Pelodiscus sinensis: one gene and its partners. The protein of the gene in region 2 purifies or fractionates together with the protein of the main gene of each other region. This does not show direct contact. Links are inferred from orthologs where the notes say so. Each region holds a gene or a part of one and is shown on either strand. Other genes may lie near its edges.

Region 1 (7,973 bases), on a different chromosome or scaffold from region 2:
GATATTTAAATCCCCCACGGATTTCCCTATTCCCAAGTTCAAAATTAGCACGCCCCTTCCGAAGAAGGGGCCAGTGTAGACGTAGCCATGCTGATTGGCATTATTACACGTCTTTCTTTATTAACTGAGTTCCATATAGCTGTTCATTATTTTGCCCAGGAGTAATGTCAAGTGAACAGCCCTGTCATAATTGGTACAACTCCTAACCCACGAAACTTATGCATATGACAGCAAAGTTGTTTAACATAGAGCTGTCTTACATACTACAAGGAAGAGACACTGTTCTCTGCGAAGTTTGCAGATACATTCTGCGGGTGTGAGTCCCGCTGTCCCTACCTCTTCACGTGAGTTAAAAAGTGAAAGAATGCTGAGGTAATCCTTCCATCAATAAAGGCTGAAAACCAAAATGGATTATATTTATACAGCACAGCCGTTGCAATTCTTGTGCTTTATTCAACATCAGAAAGCCAGTAAAGGTTGAAAAGATTAGCCAATTGTTTTACTGTTCCTGGATTTAATATCAACAGACTTGCTGGATGGCTAGACACTACCTGCTTGCAAATGTCATATTAGAGATGTTAGGTATCAGTTAACTGAATAAGTAACTGCATTAATTCCTATTGGTTACTCAACTATTTTATAGGGGTGAGGCCAGCAGCCAGTGCGCTCAAACCCCACTCCAAGGTCCCCCCACTCACCTGATTCACACAGACACATTGCTGGTTATTCCCTTTGTTAGGGAGCAAGGGGAAAGTGCAGTTGCTGCATTCCTCACTCTCACTCTCCATCAGAAGCAGCAACACAGGGTGCCAGGCAGATGCCAGTCCACAAGGGGAACCAGTTTAAAACCAGCTCCCCACATAGATGGGCTACTTGTGCCCCACGTTGCTGCCTTTGATGGAGAGTGAAGAATGCAGAAAACTATGCACTTTCTCCTTGTTCCCTGACAAAGGGAACAGCCAGCAATGTTCCGGGTGGGGATCTTCAGTCCCCTACCCTCCTTTAAGGATGCTGGGGGAAAAAAGGAGTAGAGAGGTGGAATGCCCCCAGCCAGCCCATTTCACCTGCCTGGTGTGTTTCTTTTTTCTGTACAGTTTTATGAGACGCAATCCCATTTCGGGCACATTCCATTTTCCTGACACAATGGGGGAAAAAAAAAAAAAAAAAAGAACTTACCCTGGTTTAAGTTAGCTATTAACTGAATTTGGCGATCCTAGCTCTCACTGTGCAGGAGGAAAGTGATAGAAATGTAGCCGTGTTAGTCTGGGGTAGCTGAAGCAAAATGCAGGACAATGTAGCACTTTAAAGACTAACAAGATGGTTTATTAGCTGATGAGCTTTCGTGGGCCAGACCCACTTCCTCAGATCAAATAGTGGAAGAAAGTAGTCACAACCAGTTCTTGAATAAACAGACTGACACACAGACTCACTCTCTTATATAGTAGAGAAAAGACGTGAAAAGTCTTATGGAAAAAAATTCCTCAGGTTACAGTGGCCAGGTGGAGAGCATGGTCAAGGAGAGGGGATGTGCTTCACACAACCTTGTATGGGGGTCTGACAGCGTCCCTGCCCCTTTGCAGCCTTAGGGGGTGAGCACTTGGGGCGGATGCCGCCTTGCGGCTGTGACGACAGCGCCCGATCCGTTCACGCCCCCAGACACGAGCCACTTACTGTCCTGAAATCCAGCTCCCTGGTGCACCCCCTGCAGCAGCGTCAAGATCTCCCGCGCCGTCTGCTCCAGGGTCTGAACCACCTTCCTGATCTCCTGCAAGCCGACAACACGTCAGGACACGAGGGGGGGGAAGGGACTCCCCCCGCCCCCCCCTCCCGCGCGTGCCTCGGAGCCCCCCAAGCCCCACCGGCCCCGCCCCGCCCCCCGCGTGCCTCGGAGCCCCCCAAGCCCCACCGGCCCCGCCCCGCCCGCGCCGGGCCCTGACCTCTCGGATGTCCTGGTCGGCGGTGAGGACCCCCTGCAGGGTGATGAACATCTCACTGACCGACATGGTGCGCTGCCGGGCCGGGCACGCGGGGCGCCGCCGCCCAGGGGCTGGGCCGCTCGCGACGCCGCTTCCCAACCGCCGCTCGGGGACCTTCCAACGCTCTCGGCGCAAGCTCTATGGCCGCGCGCGCGCACGCTGAGGCGGCTCCGGGGCCCTTCCACCTGCCCGGCGCACGGTAGCCCCCACCTCGTGCCTGTTCCCGCGACATCACCTCGGAAACCTGCCGCACTCAGCGCTGCCGCTGCCGCTGCCACCCACCGCCGGGCTTCCCCATGCCGGGCCGGGACCCCTGCTTCGGAGCTGGGGCTTCCACGGTGCGAGCGCAAGGGTGCCCTACTCGCTGCCTGGGCCGCCGCGCAGGGGTCCTTCTACACTCCCGGCGCAGAGCTGCCTCATTCACTTCCTGGCGCGCACGCCGCGGGAAACAAACCTTGGCCGCAGGCCGCGGGGGGGAGGGGGGGGCGCGCTTGACTGTGCGCAGGCGCAGTCCCTACTCCAGGCGATGCCCGGGAAAGCGGGGCCAGAACGGCTGCTTGGGACGAGTAACCCCTCCCCCACACCTGCCTGTGGGCTGGCATCGCCCCCCCCCAGGGTCTGCCCCCCCCCCCCCGCAGAGGTCCCATCAGCTCCTGGGAGAGAGAGACACACACACACAGCCCGTGGGGTCTCTCCCCCCCATGCCACACACAGCTGCTCAGAGACTCTGTTTGGAGGGGCGTGTTTCTGAAATCCTCCCCCTCCCCCGTGTGAGGGTGGGGCAGACAGAAGCCACGGGGATGGCTGACAAGTCTAGTTTCAGTGGATTTCTCCTCACCTCCCACTGCTAGACTGGGGAGGGGCAGAAAGATCATAGGACCTTTCTTCTTTGCCCCCTACTCAGGGTTGGGAGGCCAGCAACTTCTGGGTACTCTCTCCAATGTGCGCAGAAGTCGGGGAGCAGCATAGGACCTACTCGTATATGCCACAACCCACATCATTTTTTTACAGAACAAATTATGATTTATGTTACTATAGTGCTGAAGAGTTCTAGGCATGGACTACCCACATGTACTAGGTGCGGTACAAACCACAGTTTATGCCGAAGGCCCTTAAGAACAAGCCAGGCAACTCATGGATGAGACAGAAGGTGGACTATAAGTAAATTGGATGAAACTGGTCAGCATGATTAGCACATCAGCATCTGACAGTTGTCCGTAGTTTTGTAGGCATCAGGCAAAGAAAAGTTTTATTGAAGAAATTTGGTTATGGGCCTCCTTCTGTCCCCATTTAAGTCTATATGGGTATGACCCAGATCTTAAGACATATTTTACTCCTGGGGGAATACTGCAGAGCTGCTGGCTGCCACTGCAGGTCCCTGGACTCTAGAGCCCAGCTCTCCACCTTTCATCCGGTGAGGAGGGAGGCTCTGCACTCTGGCTACCCAGCTTGATCCTCATCCACCCAGGGATGGTGTTACCCCAGACAGAGTTCTCAAAGCTCTTGGTAACTTTACTTTGTGTGAGTTGGTGTAAAAAAATATAAATCAGTGGAGACCCAGCCACCAGTCCAATAAAGGGCTGGCACAAACAGTATTATACAAACATGCTCTAAGTAAAAGCTATACTTCATTTAATCTCAAGCATTTTAGACATCTGCAACAAGTTAGCAAAATAGCCTCAGTAATTATTGAAATTTGGTGTGGTACAGTTGCAGCCATCCAACTAGTCCATCTTTAAGCTGTCCTTGAGGGCTCTAAACTGAGTCCATGAATTGATCCCAAAGAGACCAAACCTCTCCCTCTTTATTTCACTTTGTGAGTAAACAAATTACTATCAATTTAAAAACTTGTTAAGCAAGCAGTTTCAAAAGCTAAGCAAGAGGTTTCCTGAAATTACTAATTAGCCAGAGGTATTCCTGCAGGGTTTGCATGCCCTGAGATGCTGACAGTCACATCTCAGAAGGGAAATAGATAAGCTTCTTATTTGTCTCCTAAAATATAGACCCCATCATGTTCAACTGACACTTCATCAAGAAGAGACACAGAATCAGGCAAAGGTATGCTGAGCAAGATGTTTAGTCCTCCTGGCTTAAATCTTGCTAAGTCTGCACAGCCCTGCAAAACAAACAAACAAAAAAAAACCCAAGTTTGGTTGCTGTTAGCAACAAGTATGATATTATACTATTGGTAGCAGTCTCTGACCTTTTACTGGTCTTTCAAAATCTCCCCATACAATGGGATAGGCCTGGGGATAGAGGGCTTCATTGCATCCCTTAGCAGGACTGTAGAGCCGTGGGAATAAAGGCTCTGAAGGGAGGTTCACTAGAGCTGGGGGAGGAGAAGCAGGTACCTTGACCAGGAGAGGGAAGAACACAGCCACCTCCAGCCTCCCCCCAATTGGAAGTGGGTTGTCACCCAGAGTTTCACTCTCTGCTCTTGGAGGAAAGTTTGTTGCTGCCTCTAATGTGACATACTTGTTCGTAGGTATTTTGAACAAAATAATGTAAACTGGAGTATTATAGCATGTTATTGTGACCAAATCTGCACAATTTTAAAACGTGCCCAGGATTGTTCATTTGAGGGGGCAGCATTCTCCTGGGAGCAGGCACCAAACTGGCTTGAGGTGCTGGTCTCTGGGGGCTTCTCTTGTCCTGCTCTGGGGCCTCCTTTGCAGACACTAGTTCCCTGGCACCCTGGCTCTCCAGGGAACAGCCCTCCCAGGGGCTTGCCTGGCTCCTGCCCAGCTCCATTCATGCCCCGGGTCCCGCACTTCCTCTCGGACCGCACCGAAACCAGGCCCCCGGGGAGGGGGACCCGGCTGTCTGGCCTGTGGCGGGGGGGGGGGGGGGGAGCGGCAGTGGCAGCTGTCCCAGCAGGCAAGCTCTGTCCGCCAGAGGTCGCTGTGGCCCTACGTCTGGGCCTGGCCGCTGAGCGGGCGGAAGCTGGCTGGGGGGAGAAGACACTTCCCGTGGCAGGGACCCGGAAGCGGAAGTGACGGGACCGCGCTCCCGGCGTGGGGGTAGGGTGAGCGCGCGGCATGGCGGCAGCGGGGTCCTCGGCCGCGCTCCCGCTCCTCTCTCTGGACCCGCAGCAGCAGCGCGAGTTCCAGGACAAGGTGCTGCGCGTCCGCGCCGGCCGGGCCGCCAAGGTGAGAGCCCGGGTCCCGCCTGCGGGGGGGCGGGGCTGCCGGCCGCGGAGCGCCCCCAACACGCGCGGGCCCCGATGGGCTCGTGGTGGGACTGAGAGACTCGCGCCCCGGGGGGGGGCCGCTCCCAGCTCGGAGGAAGGGCTTGGCGCGCGCCAGGGGGTCTTGGAGAGGACTCCGACCGGGAGGGGAGGGGAGCGGGGGGTGCTGGGTCCGGGACAAGGCTGTGACACGGGGCAGGAGTGCGGGGCTTTGGATTGGCATCTGGGGAAGGGGGTCGGGTTGCAGCGTCTGCCATAGGGATATAAAAGGTTAACTGGTTACCAGGGAAACATTAGCCTTCCCAGCATGCTTCCCTGATAACTGTAGGGCCGGGCCTGCCTGGAGCAAGTCCTCCCCTTCCTGAGCACAGCAGGGCTCACTGAAGCAAGCCTCCCTGCCTGCAGGACCCCAGGACTCCATGGTTAACTGGTTAAACATATTGTTTAACCAGTTAACTTTTTCATGGGTGTAGGAATGGGTGTGCAGGGGGTTTGAGTTATAACCTGGGGCATGGGCGCGGAAAGGGGAGCATTGGGTTGGGGTGCCACATGCAGGCTCTGGCCAGGAAGTGCTTACCTAAGCACAGCAAGTCCCTCAGGCAGGCTCCCTGCCTTCTACTCCCTTATATGCCGCTCGAAGTTGCTGGTCATGGGGGGCCATGTGCTTCTCTGACAGCCATGGGGAGGGGGGATATTTAACATGCTGCCTGCACTGTGGACATGGCTTATGCACTTCCCATTGGGTGGTTTATAGCCAATAGGAGCTGTGAGATTGTGCTGTGGGCAGAAGCAGCATGCAAAGCCTGTTCCCCTTCACCACCCCTCTCCCAGCTCCTGGCACTCAGAAGCACATGCCCCCTGCGACCAGCTGCTTTGAGTGGCATGTAGAGGTGGGGCAGGCAGGGAGCCTTCCCGTGGCTCCTACTGGACTGCAGGCAGGTTCCAGTGGCTTGGTGGATCAGATGCAGCCCACAGGCTGTAATTTGTCCACCCTTGAACTAGAAGTTACTGTACTGATTCCAAATTGGTGGTCTTTTGGCTCTTTGTGTTTAAGGTGGTAAATGCGCGTGAATATTCCTGTTTTTTTAATGTTACCCATTCTTTTCATATTCACAGCATGAGAAGCTGACTCCTGGTGTAATTTATTTAGGGCACATCCCTAGGGGCCTTTTTGAGCCACAACTCCAGGAGTACTTCAGCCAGTTTGGAACAGTCACCAGACTTCGAATTTCAAGAAGTAAAAAGGTAAGAATCTTAACTGATTGGAATTGTCTGGCTTCCTAATTGCAGTTATTGCTGACTTTTGCCTCCTCCCCTATTCTCCTATTTACTTACTTTCCCAATTAGAAGTAACTATTGGCCAGAGGTTATTGGTATACTGGTGGTCTCAGTTTTATTTTTTTATTACACTTTCCCTAAACTTAGTTCACGGGCCTGTTATTCCACATTGAGATGTAGGAAATAGTGGTCAAACTGAACTATGTTTTCTCCTAAATTCTTTTTGTCTCTCTATTGGTATGGATAACACCACCGTCGTCATAATTTTTGAGTCTCTGACCCTTGGATTAATCATTGGGACACCCTCTCAGTCCTTAATCTCACTCCTCCCCACATTGCTAGGGTGTTACCAAGTTCTGCAACTTGCACAACATTTCTAAAATCCAATTATTTGCTATCTCAAAGGCTAAAACACTTTTCTGTGTCTCTTTCTCCAATACTGATTGCTGCAACCTTCTCTCTGGCCTTCTTTGCCTTCAGTCCATCCAAAACCTGGTCTTTAAAGATCAGCTGCAATTTATACCAGGGTAAGAGAGAGCCTGAAAGAGTCCTGCTCTTGTGTTCCAATCATCTATTCTGGAAATGATGATAGACTCTCAGAACACACACAATTGTTTGCTCTACAGGAATTCAGGATCCTCACCCCAATTCCAAATCCTAAAGCCATTAATTGGTTTCACAAACTTTACCATCTGAGAAGCAGACTTTTACTTGGATGTTTATAATAAATGTCTTGTTCTAGAGGCTGATAAAACTTTGGTCGTAGTCTTTAAAACCTTTCAGTTACTGGTTTGAATCCAGATCTGGTAGTTAAGATAACTGTTTTTTGAAGTCCATAATTGACTTATAAGTAACAAGTTATTAGTTTTGTCCATTTTGTAGTGTAGAAATATCACTTAGGGTGGAATCCCTGTTGACAGTATCAAAAGAGGGAAAAATAACTGGCCATTTTATGCTATGGCAAAAGGTGCTTATTCCAGAAAAGGATTGAGACAAATAGGTGCTGTGAGGAAATTTCCCCTACTTCTGTAGATAAACAGAGGCCCCACTCTACTACTCTTAATCTAGTCCCTTTCATCAGAACTAAACATACATAAATGAGAAATTTTATCAGAGTAGTCTAAATCCAGTGTAGAATTCTGAATGAATATAACAGGAGGGACAGTGCATTTTGTGTGTCACAGACTAAGTCTGCCCTAAGACATACATGTGTAATGCTTACCTAGTTTACTGTGAATTGTATATTATAATCTGAGAACAGAATATGACCCTTGCAGCCTGAAAAAACAATCTAGTGTAATTCTTAGACATTATGTGTAAACATAATCTAGATTTCTGATACCATTGTCATTCGCAGACTGGAAACAGCAAAGGCTATGGATTTGTAGAGTTTGAATCAGATGAAGTCGCTAAGATTGTAGCAGATACCATGAACAACTACCTATTCTGTGAAAGACTCCTAAAGTGTGAGTATATGGGACACTGGTGAGCTAGGGAAATATGGACATGTGAACGTATTGTTTCCTGGGAAG
Region 2 (6,855 bases):
CAGAAGAAGCAGGATGGATCGTGGTAGGGTGGTGTTACAATCTAGCCTTTAGGCAGCTGCCGTTCTGTTTACCTCACTGAATTTGAGCCCAGTCAGGTTCCCAGTGACAACCCTTAGGTACACTTGGTTGAAATGGCGTAACGGCAAAAACCGGCAGAGTGTCCACATCTCAAGGACATTTTTGTGCAAAACCCCCCCAGTAAATCGACGGGACAGAGGGCTTTTGCCGGTAGAGTTATTCCTCTCCCCACAAGGAATAACTCCTTTTTGCGCTACAGCTCTTGCACAAAAAAGCATGTGTGGATGCTCCGCAGGGGGGTTTGCGCAAAAAAAGCCTACAGGAAAAAGCACAGGTGCTCTGATGGCCATTCTGTGAATGGCCATCAGAGCTTTCTTGCGCAAGAGCATCCATGCAGTGTGGACTCTCTTGTGCAAAAGTGCATCGCTTTTACGATGTGCTTTTGAGGTGTGGGTGCGCTTTTGTGCTTACACACTATGGCTACGTCTACACTGGCCCCTTTTCCGGAAGGGGCATGTAAATTTCACTAGTCGTCGTAGGGAAATCCGCGGGGGATTTAAATATCCCCCGCGGCATTTAAATAAAAATGTCCGCCGCTTTTTTCCGGCTTTTAAAAAAGCCGGAAAAGAGCGTCTAGACTGGCCCCGATCCTCCGGAAAAAGTGCCCTTTTCCGGAGGGTCTTATTCCTACTTTGAAGTAGGAATAAGAGCCTCCGGAAAAGGGCACTTTTTCCGGAGGATCGGGGCCAGTCTAGACGCTCTTTTCCGGCTTTTTTAAAAGCCGGAAAAAAGCGGCGGACATTTTTATTTAAATGCCGCGGGGGATATTTAAATCCCCCGCGGATTTCCCTACGACGACTAGTGAAATTTACATGCCCCTTCCGGAAAAGGGGCCAGTGTAGACGTAGCCATTGTGTATTTTATTTGGATCTTATTTTGAAATAGCTTATTTGGTCATTTGGCGCAGTCTACATGGTGCCAGATTTCAAAATAACCTGCTATTCCGAAATGTCCCTTACGCCTCATGGAATGAGGTCTACAGAGACGTCGGAATAGTGAGCCCTAAATAACGGGCTTGCTGTTACGATATGAGATAGCTATTTCGGGATACTCCGGCATTCCAAAGTAGCGTTGCAATGTAGACGTAGCCAGAGTGTTTAGCTTGAAATGGTGGTGGGGCGGTGTAGAAGCACCAGTCAAGTTGGATGGAGATGGGCAAGTAGGTGATGGAGGGTGTGTGATGAAGGCTTTGGGGTGACTGAAGAACCGGGAAGGAGTACTTAAGTACTGAGATGGATTTTGGTGGTTGGATGGGGAGTTGCAGAGCTCTGGGCAGTTTTTCCTGTCAGCCGTGTGCTCGTGCGGCCACTCAGAACAGATCCAAATGCCACCTAACTGACTAGCAGAGCGTCCAGAGCTAGGTTTTGAGTTTCTACAGGTGGTGCACATTCACACATGTTTCGGGGCACATAACAATTGTTCCGCACATGGATGGAAAAGATTAGAGGGCATTGGCTCTGGGACCTTTGACTTGCAGGGAGTTCTAGAGATGTGTTGGATTTTCGGGTTTTGGAGCTGGCATGAAACGGAGGCTGAGTAGGACTCAGGTCTGGGGCAACAGACTAGGGGGATTAGGGGAAGAGGTGGGTAGTGACTAAAAACCAGCAGTGAAGACTGAGGCTGTAGGTCTTAGGCGAATTATGGGCAGTGACGTTTGTGGATTATAAGGGTCGTTGGGTAACAGGGGTGTGGGAGAGCTCTAGGGTTTTGAGGTAGAAGGGGAGATTGAAGGATTATTGCCACGTGGGCCTGAAGAAGGGTTTAGGTCTCTAGGGGTAGGGGAAAGCTGGGGGGCCAAAGGGGATTATGGGGCTATAGTTGTGCAGGGTATGGAGGTCTAGGTGTAGATGGGGAATTTGGGGGTTCATGGGGATTGAGGGGGTCATGCGGATTATGGGGGCAATAGGGCTGGGGTTAGAGGTCTCTAGGAGTAGGGGGAGGTTGGGGTCATGGGGATTATAGGGTTTTAGGGACAGGTGGAGCGACTGAGGATCCTGGGGATCTAAGGACCCCAGGGGTGGGGTTGTAGATTTTAAGGGTAGGTGGGTATAAAGGAGTGGGGTTATGGGGTTCTAGAGGTGGGTGGGGGTGGAGTCATGGAGGTAACAGGGGCTGGGCTGGAAGGTTGGCTGGAGGCCCTGGGGAGGAAGGTGGGATTATGGGGTTCCTGGATGGCTTGGGGCCCTGGGGAGAAAGGAGTGGGGTTATGGGGCTCGATGGGTGTGTGGGGGTCACGAGAGTAACAGGGCTCAAGGAGTGTGGTGGGGAGATCACGAAAGTAACAGGGCTCGGTCTGGGGGGATCACGGAGATTAAGGGGCTCGGTCTGGAGGGATCATGGGAGTAATGGTGCTTGGGGGTGCAGTGGGGGAATGGATGGGATTATGGGGCTCAGACTAGGGTGGTCATGGAGTAACGGGGCTTGGGCTGGGGGACTGCAGGGGTTATGGGGCTTGGGCTGGGGAGGTTATGGGGTCACTGGGCTCAGGGCTGTGGTGGGGAAGGGGTGGGGTTATGAAGCTCGAGGGGGCGGTGGGGAAGGCGTGTGGTTTTGGGGGGGTGATAGGGGAAGGCGTAGAGTTATGGGGGTGCGGTGGCAGAAGGGGCGGATGTACAGGGCTGGGGGGTGCGTGGGAGAAGAAGCAGGATTACAGGGCTGGGGGCAGATCTGTGGGGGAAGGTGCGAGGTCACGGGGGTTCAGTGGTGGAAGGGGTGGGATAATGGAGCCCGGGGGGGTACATGGGGGAAGGGGTGGAGTTATAGGGCTCTAGGGACGGGGGGGGGAAGGGCGGGGTTACGGGGCTCTGGGGCGGGGCTCGTGGGGTGCTGTGGGCGAAGGGGCGGGGTTACGGGGATTTAGGGGCGGGGCTCGGGGCGCTGTGGGCGAAGGGGCGGGGTTACGGGGCTCTAGGGGCGGGGCTCGGGGCGCTGTGGGCGAAGGGGCGGGGTTACGGGGCTCTAGGGGCGGGGCTCAGGGCACTGTGGGCGAAGGGGCGGGGTTATGGGGCTCTAGGGGCGGGGCTCGGGGCGCTGTGGGCGAAGGGGCGGGGTTACGGGGCTCTAGGGGCGGGGCTCGGGGCGCTGTGGGCAAAGGGGCGGGGTTACGGGGCTCTAGGGGCGGGGCTCGGGGGGTGCTGTGGGCGAAGGGGCGGGGTTACGGGGCTCTAGGGGCGGGGCTCGGGGGGTGCTGTGGGCGAAGGGGCGGGGTTACGGGGCTCTAGGGGCGGGGCTCGGGGCGCTGTGGGCGAAGGGGCGGGGTTACGGGGCTCTAGGGGCGGGGCTCGGGGCGCTGTGGGCGAAGGGGCGGGGTTACGGGGCTCTAGGGGCGGGGCTCGGGGCGCTGTGGGCGAAGGGGCGGGGTTACGGGGCTCTAGGGGCGGGGCTCGGGGCGCTGTGGGCGAAGGGGCGGGGTTACGGGGCTCTAGGGGCGGGGCTCGGGGCGCTGTGGGCGAAGGGGCGGGGTTACGGGGCTCTAGGGGCGGGGCCCGGCGGGAGCGGGGCTCGGGCTGCGCTGCGTCCCCCCGGCCGCAGGGGGCGCTGTGCCCCGCCCGCCCAGCCGGTCTCCCCGCGGGCGCTGCGCTCTTGCTGGCTGGGCCGCGGCCGCCGGACCGGCCCCTTTTCCGGGTTCGCTGCGCTGCGCTCGGGGCCGGCTCAGGCTGCCGCCGCCGGGGATCGGGCCTCGGGCAGAGACCGCGCGGGCCCCGCAGCCCGGCCCCCCGCCCCGCCCCCGCCGGGCCGGGACCGGCCCCCCCGCCCCGCCCCCGGCCGGCCTGGCTCTGCTGCCCCCCGCCGCCGCCCTCCTGCGCTCCGCGCCCCGCCTCGCCAGCCCCCTGCGCCGCCGCCTCCGGCCGCCGCCCGCCCCCGCCATGCCCGGCCCGGCCGCCGGCAGCAGGGCCCGGGTGTACGCCGAGGTGAACAGCCTGAGGAGCCGCGAGTACTGGGACTACGAGGCGCACGTCCCGAGCTGGGGGTAAAGCGGCCGCGCCACCGGGGGGAGGGGCGGGGGGGGGATGGTGAGTGAGGGGGCGGGGAGACCCCCCCGGCGCACCCCCCCAAATCCTGCCCGGCGACACCCCGCTGCTGCCCGGTGCCCCAGAGCTGGGGGGAGGGGCAGCCCCCCCGGCCAGACACCGGGGGGGAGGGGCAGGTGGCGGGGGTTCCCCCCGACCCGCTCTTCGGGCGGGGGATGCTCTGGCAGGGAGTGGGCCCCACGGCCATGCTGGTGCTGCCGCCTCGTGGCCCTGCCGAGCTGCCCGGGAAGCCCCCCCCCCCCCCCCCCCCCGCAAACAGCCTTGCCCTGGGTGGGGACCTCCCAGCTGCCCCTGTCTCTGCGCCTCTCTGAGATGGCCGTGAAAGCCTGAAGAGGGAGCAGGCTCGCTGCGGGTCACGGTGCCCCCTCTCCTCCCCTCTGCAGGGCTGCACCCTGCGCTGCTTGATCGAAGGCTTTCCCCAGCCAAGAGACAGGGACTGGTTTGGGGATGGGTTTGCACAGGGTAGCCCTGTGGAGCCTGCCCCCTCCGCGGAAAGCAGATCCTGTAATGCACAGCGCTGTCTCCACGGGCTTTGGATGCAAAGGGCTGGGCGGGCAGGGAGGAGAGAGAATTCCAGCCTGTCAGTTATTTTCCTTTTCCCTGTCCACAGTAATCAGGACGATTACCAACTGGTTCGGAAGCTCGGCCGGGGAAAATACAGTGAAGTCTTTGAGGCCATAAACATTACCAACAACGAGAGAGTGGTGGTGAAAATCCTCAAGGTGAGCGTCCAGTTGACGATCAGTAGCCCTCTTCATGATGGGAAAGGGGCATTTTACTAGGTTTGTTGAGGGGGATGGGGCAATTTTAGGTCTCGTTCAGTGTCTCCTAAACTGGGTTTCAGCCCTGCCCTCTCTGATGTTGGGGTGCTGGATTACATCTCCGGAAATACATTTTTGGCTCGTGTCCTGTAGTGATGCTGTGCTGGTCCTTTCTCTCTTCAAGTCCTGGGTCAAGGGGTGCTTGTCGGATTGAGACTGAGCGTGCTTTGGGACAGGAAAGCCATGTGTCTTGATATCTGAATGGTCTGGATGTGCTGTCTGCACTTAGTACATAATATCTGGCAATGTTTGTCTCCAATGGCTTGCAAACTGTCCTGTCAACAGTAATATGAACCCGTGCGGGGGAATCCTTCCATTAACCTTTACATGATTGGCTGTAACTGTGTCAGAGCCAGGCTGGTAAGTTTTTGGGAAAGCAAACTAAATCTTGGCCTTGGTACGTAAGAAAGTACAATGGAAGGCAAATTCCTCAGTATTTAAAATGAGTCATAGCCATGATTGAAAATCAAGGTAAAGGAGGTGGCTTGTTTTCCATTGCTCACTAGTTGGTGTGTTCTGATCGCAACCTCATGAGAGTGGCACATTAAGGACCCAAGTACAAAGGAAGCTATTAAAATCCGAATGCTTTGGGTCAGCCAAGTGCTCTGTCCTGCACAGTTTCTTGTTATCACTGCTGCCTGGGAGCACTGGAAGCAGCACACTCAGCCTGTGACAGGAGTGAGAACTCTGGTGTTTAGTCGCAGACTGTTCAGCTGATTGAGGAAGGGGCGAGAAAGAAAGGGTTGTTGAATGGTCACAAAGCCAAAGCATTCTGTTGGCTGGCAGCTGTGGTTCTTGTCCACCATCGTCATCTTGCTTTTCCCCCTATACTACAGAAGCCTGCTTCCAACCCTACAAATGCTCAGAACATGGACATGCATCAATCCTCACAGCTACAGTTGAGAGAGGGTGTACTTAGGAAATAACCCGTCAGCTGCCGTGGCGAGTTGCTAGCTGCCATGTACGCATGCCTGGCCCTTTTCAGCAGGGCAGCATGCATCTGTCAGACTGCGAATTGGCTACTCGGTCTGACAAAATCCCCCTTCGTGGACCAGGGTGCTCTGATTGCATGGCTGGCCAGCTAGCATTGGCGCTTCTCCTTGCCTTTCTCCTTCGGGACCAGGTTGTCTGTTCATCCTGGGCCTCTGATTGCTGTGCCCCATCTCCCCAGGTGGCTTGTTCTGCCATGGATCTCGTTTTGCTGAGCAGTAGTCACTGGGCAGGGCGTGACTTCTCAATTGCTTCTGAGAAGAGTTAGGAATATCAGCATCTTACCTGGGCTTCGGAATGAAGGTGGCAAAGTGATGTGCATCTTCGGTAAAATCCTCACCCCAAAGAGATGGCTGGTTGGGCTAGGGATGTGAAGGACTAGTGATGTGACCCCGGGTGGCACTGCCGCTTTGAAATGCCGTGAGGAGCCTGATGCCGGGCTCCCTGCGGCATTCAAAGCGGCAGCGCAGCGTGGACCTGGATCAGCTGGGGACTCCTTCACTGACCTGGGCTCCGTGTGGCACTGCTGCTGGGGTGTTCCCAGCTGACCCCGGGCTTTGGCCTTTGAAGGCGGAGGCACCCTGTTTGACTAGCGATGCAAAAATGCATTGACTACTCGATGAGTCAGTTACCCGATATTTAACATCCTTAGGTATTCCCAGGTAGAAGGGAGGCTTGCATGGTTTGTTGGCTTACTGTGTAGGCCCATGTCTCCTTTTGAACGCTGCTGCCGGGACCTAAGCACTTGTTTGTCTTGCACTCTGGGAGCCGAAGACTCAGCATTAAAGAGAGACTGTCAGCAGGTAGCCAAGAGCGTAACTATTATATGGAGAGCTGGCTCTTGGCTAAGCACAGGAAACCATCCACTTCTGTTTACCACTAGTCTAGGAAATCCGCCGTAGGGCTTTGGTGAACCTCAGGTGTCTGGTCGAGT
Region 3 (7,697 bases), on a different chromosome or scaffold from region 2:
AAAAGACGACAATTAACGTAACAATGCACCCTAATCATAATCCAGGTCCCCATATAATCAGTGGGGGGAAAAAAATCACTTTCCAATTCTAGCTAAAATCCAAGAAACCTGAATGCTGCTGGTGGGAGTTAAATAAATATGGAATTGACAAAGTTTTATGCCTATCACTCTGTGCCATCTGCAACATTCCTCTGAACTCCCCGTTTTATAAAAATAGACTACAGAGCTTTTTGCTAGTTGTCCAGTCTCCAATGCCAAATCAGATTTAAACAGCTATAAGCACCTCTTGCTCTCCAGAGCAGTAAACAATTGCTGTAGTTGCCACACAGGATTGTTAACCAGTGGCAAGGGAGGTGGTCCATGTGATGCTCTGAGACAATGTGGTCTACAGCGTACACCAGTTCAAGAACCCCTGTTCTGGCCTAATCTCATATTACAGCTGAGAGGATCTGGTGAGAGTGTGGGCAGTTTATTTCTCACCACACTCCCTGAAATGCCATTAAACGTAAAAAGTTCAGAAGCGTAGCTATAAGAGTTTCATTTCTTGGAACTGAGGCAAGTAATAGTCCTGGATGTCTTTCAAATGGAAAGACAGATGCGATACAAAACCCACGATCATGCGAAAAATGCAACAGGTACACCCAGAACTCAAAATCCTATTCCCTTCTTCTGCCCTCCCAATTCATCTATTTCAACCAAGGGCTGTTTCCTTAACTGCATTTGAGAGCAGCAAATCATACTTGTTCCTGCCTTACACATGGAAGATATTTCACCTGATTAAGAGCCAGCCTGTAGCAGTCTCAATAGACTCACCTTCTCGAAACAAAACCCGAAACTGCTGTGCCAATATTCTTCAATCAGTGCTACACTGCAGAGTAAAAAACCTCTACCGCAGCCCTGCTAGATTTCAGCCTGACAATAGGCAATACCTCCACCACTTACAGTAAGGCCTTGTCTTAAGACAAAAATTATTAGTGTTGCTACCACCAGTTTTGTTCTGCTAGTAGTAGCTGTATTTGGAGTGACAACACAGGTGCCTGGTAGGATTTTAAGTGCCATGTCTTCTTTGGGGGACTGTGCAGCACAGTATAGCCCCTGTCTTTCCCACACTAGAGCTCTCTTCAGTGGAGATGAGCCACTGCTAGGAAATTTTGGAAGAGAGCTTTGGAAACTCTACGTCAGCTGTTCAGTGTTTAGCTCTGTTTGTGTTATGCATGATAGGAACAAGAGGCAGCTTTCTGCATCAAACAGCAGAAACAGTAATATTCAGTCCAGGTTTCCAGAATGGCAATTGGCTGATGCCAATATGGCTAAGATTGAACTCATGAAGAGGCTTTTACACCAAGCTCAAATCATTAATGCTTAAAGCTGCATCTGGCTGGAGGGAGAACAAGCTTGACTTCTGCACTTGTGCCAGTTCAATCCCCAATCTCATACAGTAGCCTGGGCCTTTAGGATGAGACACACCCTCCATGTAATAAATAGTAAGGGCTAGAATCTATGCATGCAAGTAACATTGGCCACACAAGCCACCCTGAACCAGTGCATGCCCCCAAGACAGGCTATGCAGCTTATTAACCAAATAAGGGAAAGGTCTGCGCATGCAAAGCAAGATACAGATTACGGGAGCTAGAGAGGACAATAAATCCATACACCCTGGCCACAGACTGGTGCATGCCCCCAGCCAGGCCTAGGAACAAGAGAGGGCGGAGCGAGACCATGCATCCCAGGACTAGGGCTGGTACATATCCCCCTGCGTGGGAGCTAAGAAGGGGTCAGACCCATGCAGTCTGGGGGCAGGTTCATACACGCCAGTCATGGGCACCAAGGAAGGGCATGTCCATGTACCCCATGGGTGCTAGGGAAGGAGGTCAGATCCATTCACCCTGCACCCCGAAGCTGGTGCCTGCACCACCACCCCCACTCCCGGTGCTAAGGAAGCGGCTTTTCCATACATCACCAGGGCTGCACAGCTCTCCCCCAACAGGAGCTGGGAGGAGGCCGGTCCATGCACCCTGGGGCAGGAATGGTGCACACCCCTCCCTCCACGTGGAAGCTAGGGAAGGGACAGATCCATGCACCCAAGAGCAAGGACATGCATCCTCCCTGCTCCCTCCCCCCGCCCTGGAGCTAAGAAAGGACACGGGAGCCGGGGGAGGGGCGGCCCCACGCACCCCCCCCATTACACGGGAGCCGGGGGAGGGGCGGCCCCACGCACCCCCCCCCATTACACGGGAGCCGGGGGAGGGGCGGCCCCACGCACCCCCCCCCATTACACGGGAGCCGGGGGAGGGGCGGCCCCACGCACCCCCCCCCATTACACGGGAGCCGGGGGAGGGGCGGCCCCACGCACCCCCCCCCATTACACGGGAGCCGGGGGAGGGGCGGCCCCACGCACCCCCCCCATTACACGGGAGCCGGGGGAGGGGCGGCCCCACGCACCCCCCCCATTACACGGGAGCCGGGGGAGGGGCGGCCCCACGCACCCCCCCCATTACACGGGAGCCGGGGGAGGGGCGGCCCCACGCACCCCCCCCCATTACACGGGAGCCGGGGGAGGGGCGGCCCCACGCCCCCCCCCATTACACGGGAGCCGGGGGAGGGGCGGCCCCACGCCCCCCCCCATTACACGGGAGCCGGGGGAGGGGCGGCCCCACGCCCCCCCCCATTACACGGGAGCCGGGGGAGGGGCGGCCCCACGCCCCCCCCCATTACACGGGAGCCGGGGGAGGGGCGGCCCCACGCACCCCCCCATTACACGGGAGCCGGGGGAGGGGCGGCCCCACGCGGGCCGTTCCCTGGCGGAGGCAGAGCTCGGGGCGGGGCCGCGGGGCGGCGCGTGCCCGGCGCGGGGGGGGGGGAGGGGGCCCCGCTCAGTCACTTACCTGGGAGGGGGGGGAGGGGCGCCGCCTCCTCCTCGGCGCGGAGCAGGGCCGGGGAGGAGGTGAAGCAGCGGCAGCTCCGTAGCTGCCAGGCGGGGAGGGGGGAATTGCGGGGCGGCGCATGCGCTCACGGCGGAAGGGGAGGGAGCCGCACAATGCCGCTCTCTCCCGGGGATGCTACGGCGAGGCGGAAGGGACAGAATCCGTCGGAGGCGGACTGGCACAGGCCTTAAAGGGCCAGAGGCCTGTTCCGGGTGGGGGCTCCCAGGGGATGCACGCGGCCAGGGCTGCTGCAGAGGTCACGGCCCTGCGGCCCACGTGTTGCAATTTCCCTGGAAGTCGCTGAGGCTGGAGCAAGCTGCAGCTCCCCAGGCTGGAGCCCTCAAGCCCCCCCCCCCCCCTTCCCAGCCTGACCCAGTGTCCTCATGTGCACTGGACAGCCTGGGTGAACAGTGCCCCTCTGCCAGAAGTGGGGGGGGGGGAGTGTTGGTGTGTGTGTGGGGGGGGGATTCTCTCTCACACACACACACACACACACACACAGCTACTTATGGGGCCCCGTGATACACACACCCACTACATATGGGGCCCAGTTCTGCAAGCAATCCCCACACACACGGCTCGTATTAGGAAACCCAGCCCCCCCCCACTGCAGCACTGCTTTAAACCCCCATTTCTTAAAATATAGGGCCCGTCCCAGCATCATTGTGTCTTACCCAGGTGACACTGGGCTGGTGCCAGCTGTATACCTGTAAGAAGCAGACACCGGCACCAGCCCATATGCGGCGGATGTTAAAGTGCCATCACGGCAGCAAGGGAAGGACCGTTTTTAATGTGCTGCTTCAGCAGTGCTTTAACATTGCTGCCGCTTTTGCTCCCCCCGTCAGCGGCAGCGCTCCCTGTAAGCTGTGTGCTTATGCAGCCGCTCAGGAGCAATTCAAATGCTGCACCCACTGCTAGGTTTTGTGTTTCTATCAGTGGTGCAACTCTGCAAACACCCGCGTGCACATACAAATTTTATTCCACACGTGGATAGAAAAGGTTAGAGCAGGGATTCTCAAACTCTGTGATACTGTGCCCCCCCTCTAAGTTGCTCGCGACCCCCCGGGGGGAGTCGGGACCCACAGTTTGAGAAACGCGGAGTTAGAGGGAACATTGGTCAGCAGCCCTGTTGGTCGGGTCTGGCAGAGTGACCTGCAGCAAAAGGTGCAGCTGCCTTGGAGACCAGTGTTTAGAAAGGCCTGGGGGTCCCGGATGAAGTGGTGGTCATGAAAGACTGGCTGAGGAGTGTGGTCCTCTAGGCTCTAGCCCTGCCCCTTGTGCGGTTTCAAACCCACCCATCACCTCTTGCATACCAGTAAGGACTCCGGCATACCAGTAAGTCCTAGCGCTTCCTTTCACCCCTACTCTTTAACATTGGTCCCCAACCTTTTGGGGCTGCCGGGCGCCTGGGGGCGGGGCTACTCACACACCTGGGGGCGAGGCCGTGCACGTGCTTGGGGGCGGGGCCACCCATATGGCGCACGCCCGGTGCTGGCACCACCCATTCGCTGCACTCCCGGGGGCCAGCGCTGCTCCTGTGCCAGGCGCCTAGGGGTGGGGCTGCCCATACGCCGTGCGCCAGGGCCGAAACAGCCCATGCGCTGCACGCCCAGGGGCGGGGCCACCCAAACGCCGTGTGCCCGGGGCCGGCACCGCCCATATGCCGCGCACCTGGGGCCAGTACAGCCGTTGCACCGCGCACCCAGGGGCAGGGCCACCCAAAAGCTCCTGGGGCCGCCCATGTGTTGCGTGCCTGGGGCCGACGTTGCCCATATGTTGACCGCCCAGGGAGCCGGCACCGGCCATGCGCCATGCGCCCAGGTGTGGGGCCAGCCTCATTCACTCAGCAGGCGCAGAGAAATGGCCCGGCGGGCGCCATGGTGCCCCCGGGCACCACGTTGGGGACCACTGCAAGTTTAGCACCTACTCAGCCTTCAGAAACTCACTCAGGTATCTAAGACTCAAGGTCTCTCACATCAGAGCTACTCAGAGAGGAGCTGTGTGTTGCTCTTTAATGTGTCTCCTGCAGCTCCTTGCAGCACATGATATTAAAACACTGTGTGATTTAATTATTTAACCAATCTACATAATTAGCTAATCAGGATGCTTTTACTGTGTTATTCACCAATTGTAAAATACTCGATCAGTCATTTGGCTGTGAGGATAATATATACATTTACACAACTGAGGCTCTTTTACGTAATGTGGATGGCTAATTTGCCTCCTGAACCACTGAGGTTAGCAGATCGCTGTTATACGTTATTGTGAGTGGTCTACTTAAATCATGGAGAAATCGCACATTTTTTGTGGGTGGGTCATGGCATAAATAGCAAATGTCATGGCCGTGTTCATATAGGATACAGGATAGTACTCTGCTAATGTGAGGTTTGTCAGTCACTCTGGGTAAGGGAATCTGCTAAATTAAGAGTAAAACTTTTTTTGATGGGACCTCTCCCCCCTAAATTACAGCCTTTCTTCTGGGCTGCAGGCGTGCTGCTCTCTAGCCATTCAGCACAGACAAGCAGCCCAGAAGTAAGGGAATATTGTGTCCAGTTGGAGTATTGTGTCCAGTTCTGTGCACCACATTTCAAGAAAGATGTGGAGAAATTGTAGAAGATCCAGAGAAGAGCAACAAGAGTGATTAAAGGTCTAGAGAACATGACTAATGATTAAAGGTCTAGAGAACATGGGCTTGTTTAGTTTGGAAAAGAGAAGACTGAGAGGGGACATGATAGTGGTTTTGAGGTATCTAAAAGGGTGTCACAAGGAGGAGGGAGAAAAATTGTTCTTCTTGGCCTCTGAGGATAGAACAAGAAGCAATGGGCTCAAACTGCAGCAAGGGAGGTTTAGGTTGGACATTAGAAAAAACTTCCTAACTGTCAGGGTGGTTAAACACCAGAAGATCTCTTCCAGAAAAGCTTCTTCCGAAAGAAGCCTGCAGTCTAGATGTAGCCTTTGTCTTTTGCTTCAGTGCTAGTGATTGTGTAATACAGTGGCTTAATGTATCTCGCCATAGCTCCCTCCAGTAATTACCTAAGGTATGTGATCTCTTCTTGAGCTCAAGGGATTAGAGACCTATGCTTTTGGAGCTGGAAGTATCTGATTCAATCCCCAGTGATGACTGATGTCTGTGTGTCCGCTTGATATACTTGCTTTGCTGCTGCAGTGGATCTCAGTTGTCTATAAGTGTGAATAATAACTGCAGCTATACCAATTTTTTAAGAAGAGAGCTTTGCCCTTTGATTAGGTTGTGCAAAACACCTCAAAGAAGCTCTGAAACAAGCAGCAATATGCACCCAAGGGATGCTGCTGGAAGCATAATAAAAACTTCTGTTCTGATCTTGCAGAGGAGAGCCAATGAAAAGGTTCCAACACGGAAGGGCTGGATTAATCAAATAAGATCTGTCCCGGTTCTGTGCCTTGCACGCTCCATAAAATTTGACAAGGTTTCAGAATATCCATTCAAAGGACCACATTTAGGAAAGCGCTTCAAAACATGCTTAAAGTTACGCCGCTGCTTTCTGGAAAAATCAGTGCTTTCCTGAACCGAGGCCAAAGGCTACACAGAAATTGCGACAAGCGGCTTTTGTTTAATGGAGGAAAAAAAAACCCAAGAAAAGTGTGTACATGCCGGTCCTTTAACAAAGAGCTTTGAGATCCAAAAATTCTAATGGCAGTTGGGGAATGGAAAATGTCTGGTGGAGAGGGGATTCAAGGAAAAATTTACTGCCTGCTTTGGAAATCTGGAGCAGGAATTTAAAGAATTAAACCTTATAATGCAAATATGGATAAGGGGGCAAAGTAGAAGATAATAAACGGAGCTGGAAAAGCGGCACAACCCAGCATTAAGAGACCCAGCCAGTTAAGTTCTTTTCTGTTTTGTAACCTAAGGGTGGTTGGTTTGTTTAAATAGACTGGATTCACCGTTTTAAAAGCTGATACTTAATTATTCTTTGGTCAGAACAGTGTAATTTGCTTTTCTTGTTGAAGATTAAAATGTACATGTACTGTGCCCCATTTCTCATGACTCTGTCATGCTGGAGATTTCTCCTACCACTTCCAAAGTTCTCTTATTTGTATTACTGTTTTGCTAGTGCCTAAAGATCTCAAAGTGCTTAACAAACAGTAACTAAGCATCACAACAACACTGCATGTTCCCTGCCCTTAAGGCTAGGTAAAGTGTTTTAATTTACCTTTTTAAATAAAGCAAAATGATTTTTAATCATAATAGGCTCCAGTTAAGCACATACCCAGTTTTAAGTATCAAAGGCTTTAATGGGGTTGTTTAGGTGCATGAAACTAGACCCTTACCTTTGGAGATGATGGAAGCTGGTATGAAACACACAGAGGCCGTGGGTGAAGGTAGAGTTGGTGGAGGCAAGCCCGCAGACCCACCCCCAGGTCCACCCCTTCTGCTCAGGCCCCACGTCCCAGCAAGAAAGAGGGTGTGTGCCCTCAGCCTCCCCCAGCCCTAGAGCACCGGGGCGGGGGGGTAGAGGGCCATGGCCCCAGTCTTCCCAGCCTCAGAAGTGATTGTTTTCCTTTTTTCGGCTCTGGTGAGGCCACATCTGGAATATTGTGTCCAGTTCTGGGCCCCCCACTATAGAAAGGATGTGGACGCATTGGAGAGGGTCCAGCAGAAGGTGACCAAAATGATTAGGGGCTGGAGTGCATGACCTATGAGGAGAGACTGAGGGATTTGGGTTTGTTTAGTCTGCAGAAGAGAAGAGTGAGGGGGGATTTGATAGCAGCCTTCAACTTCCTGAAGGGAGG

Evidence for each region. The genes of interacting proteins can lie anywhere in the genome.
Region 1: the proteins of CSNK2A2 (region 2) and NIFK purify together in Homo sapiens (affinity purification with mass spectrometry; 3 studies listed by BioGRID and IntAct, with this or other methods). This does not show direct contact. The link is inferred for Pelodiscus sinensis from reciprocal best matches to the Homo sapiens genes CSNK2A2 and NIFK.
Region 3: the proteins of CSNK2A2 (region 2) and WDR5 purify together in Homo sapiens (affinity purification with mass spectrometry; 3 studies listed by BioGRID and IntAct, with this or other methods). This does not show direct contact. The link is inferred for Pelodiscus sinensis from reciprocal best matches to the Homo sapiens genes CSNK2A2 and WDR5.

Annotation. Positions count from the first base shown.
Region 1 is NC_134717.1:8,136,304-8,144,276, reverse strand, and holds the start of NIFK (MKI67 FHA domain-interacting nucleolar phosphoprotein), read left to right. Parts: upstream 1-4,962; 5' UTR 4,963-5,014; coding exon 5,015-5,125; intron 5,126-6,279; coding exon 6,280-6,408; intron 6,409-7,798; coding exon 7,799-7,907; intron 7,908-7,973. Other genes in the region: TSN (translin), read right to left, coding at 1,672-1,765, 1,938-2,003.
Region 2 is NC_134722.1:46,154,672-46,161,526, reverse strand, and holds the start of CSNK2A2 (casein kinase II subunit alpha'), read left to right. Parts: upstream 1-3,838; 5' UTR 3,839-3,945; coding exon 3,946-4,049; intron 4,050-4,720; coding exon 4,721-4,832; intron 4,833-6,855.
Region 3 is NC_134732.1:17,957,569-17,965,265, reverse strand, and holds the start of WDR5 (WD repeat-containing protein 5), read right to left. Parts: upstream 3,012-7,697; 5' UTR 2,886-3,011; intron 1-2,885.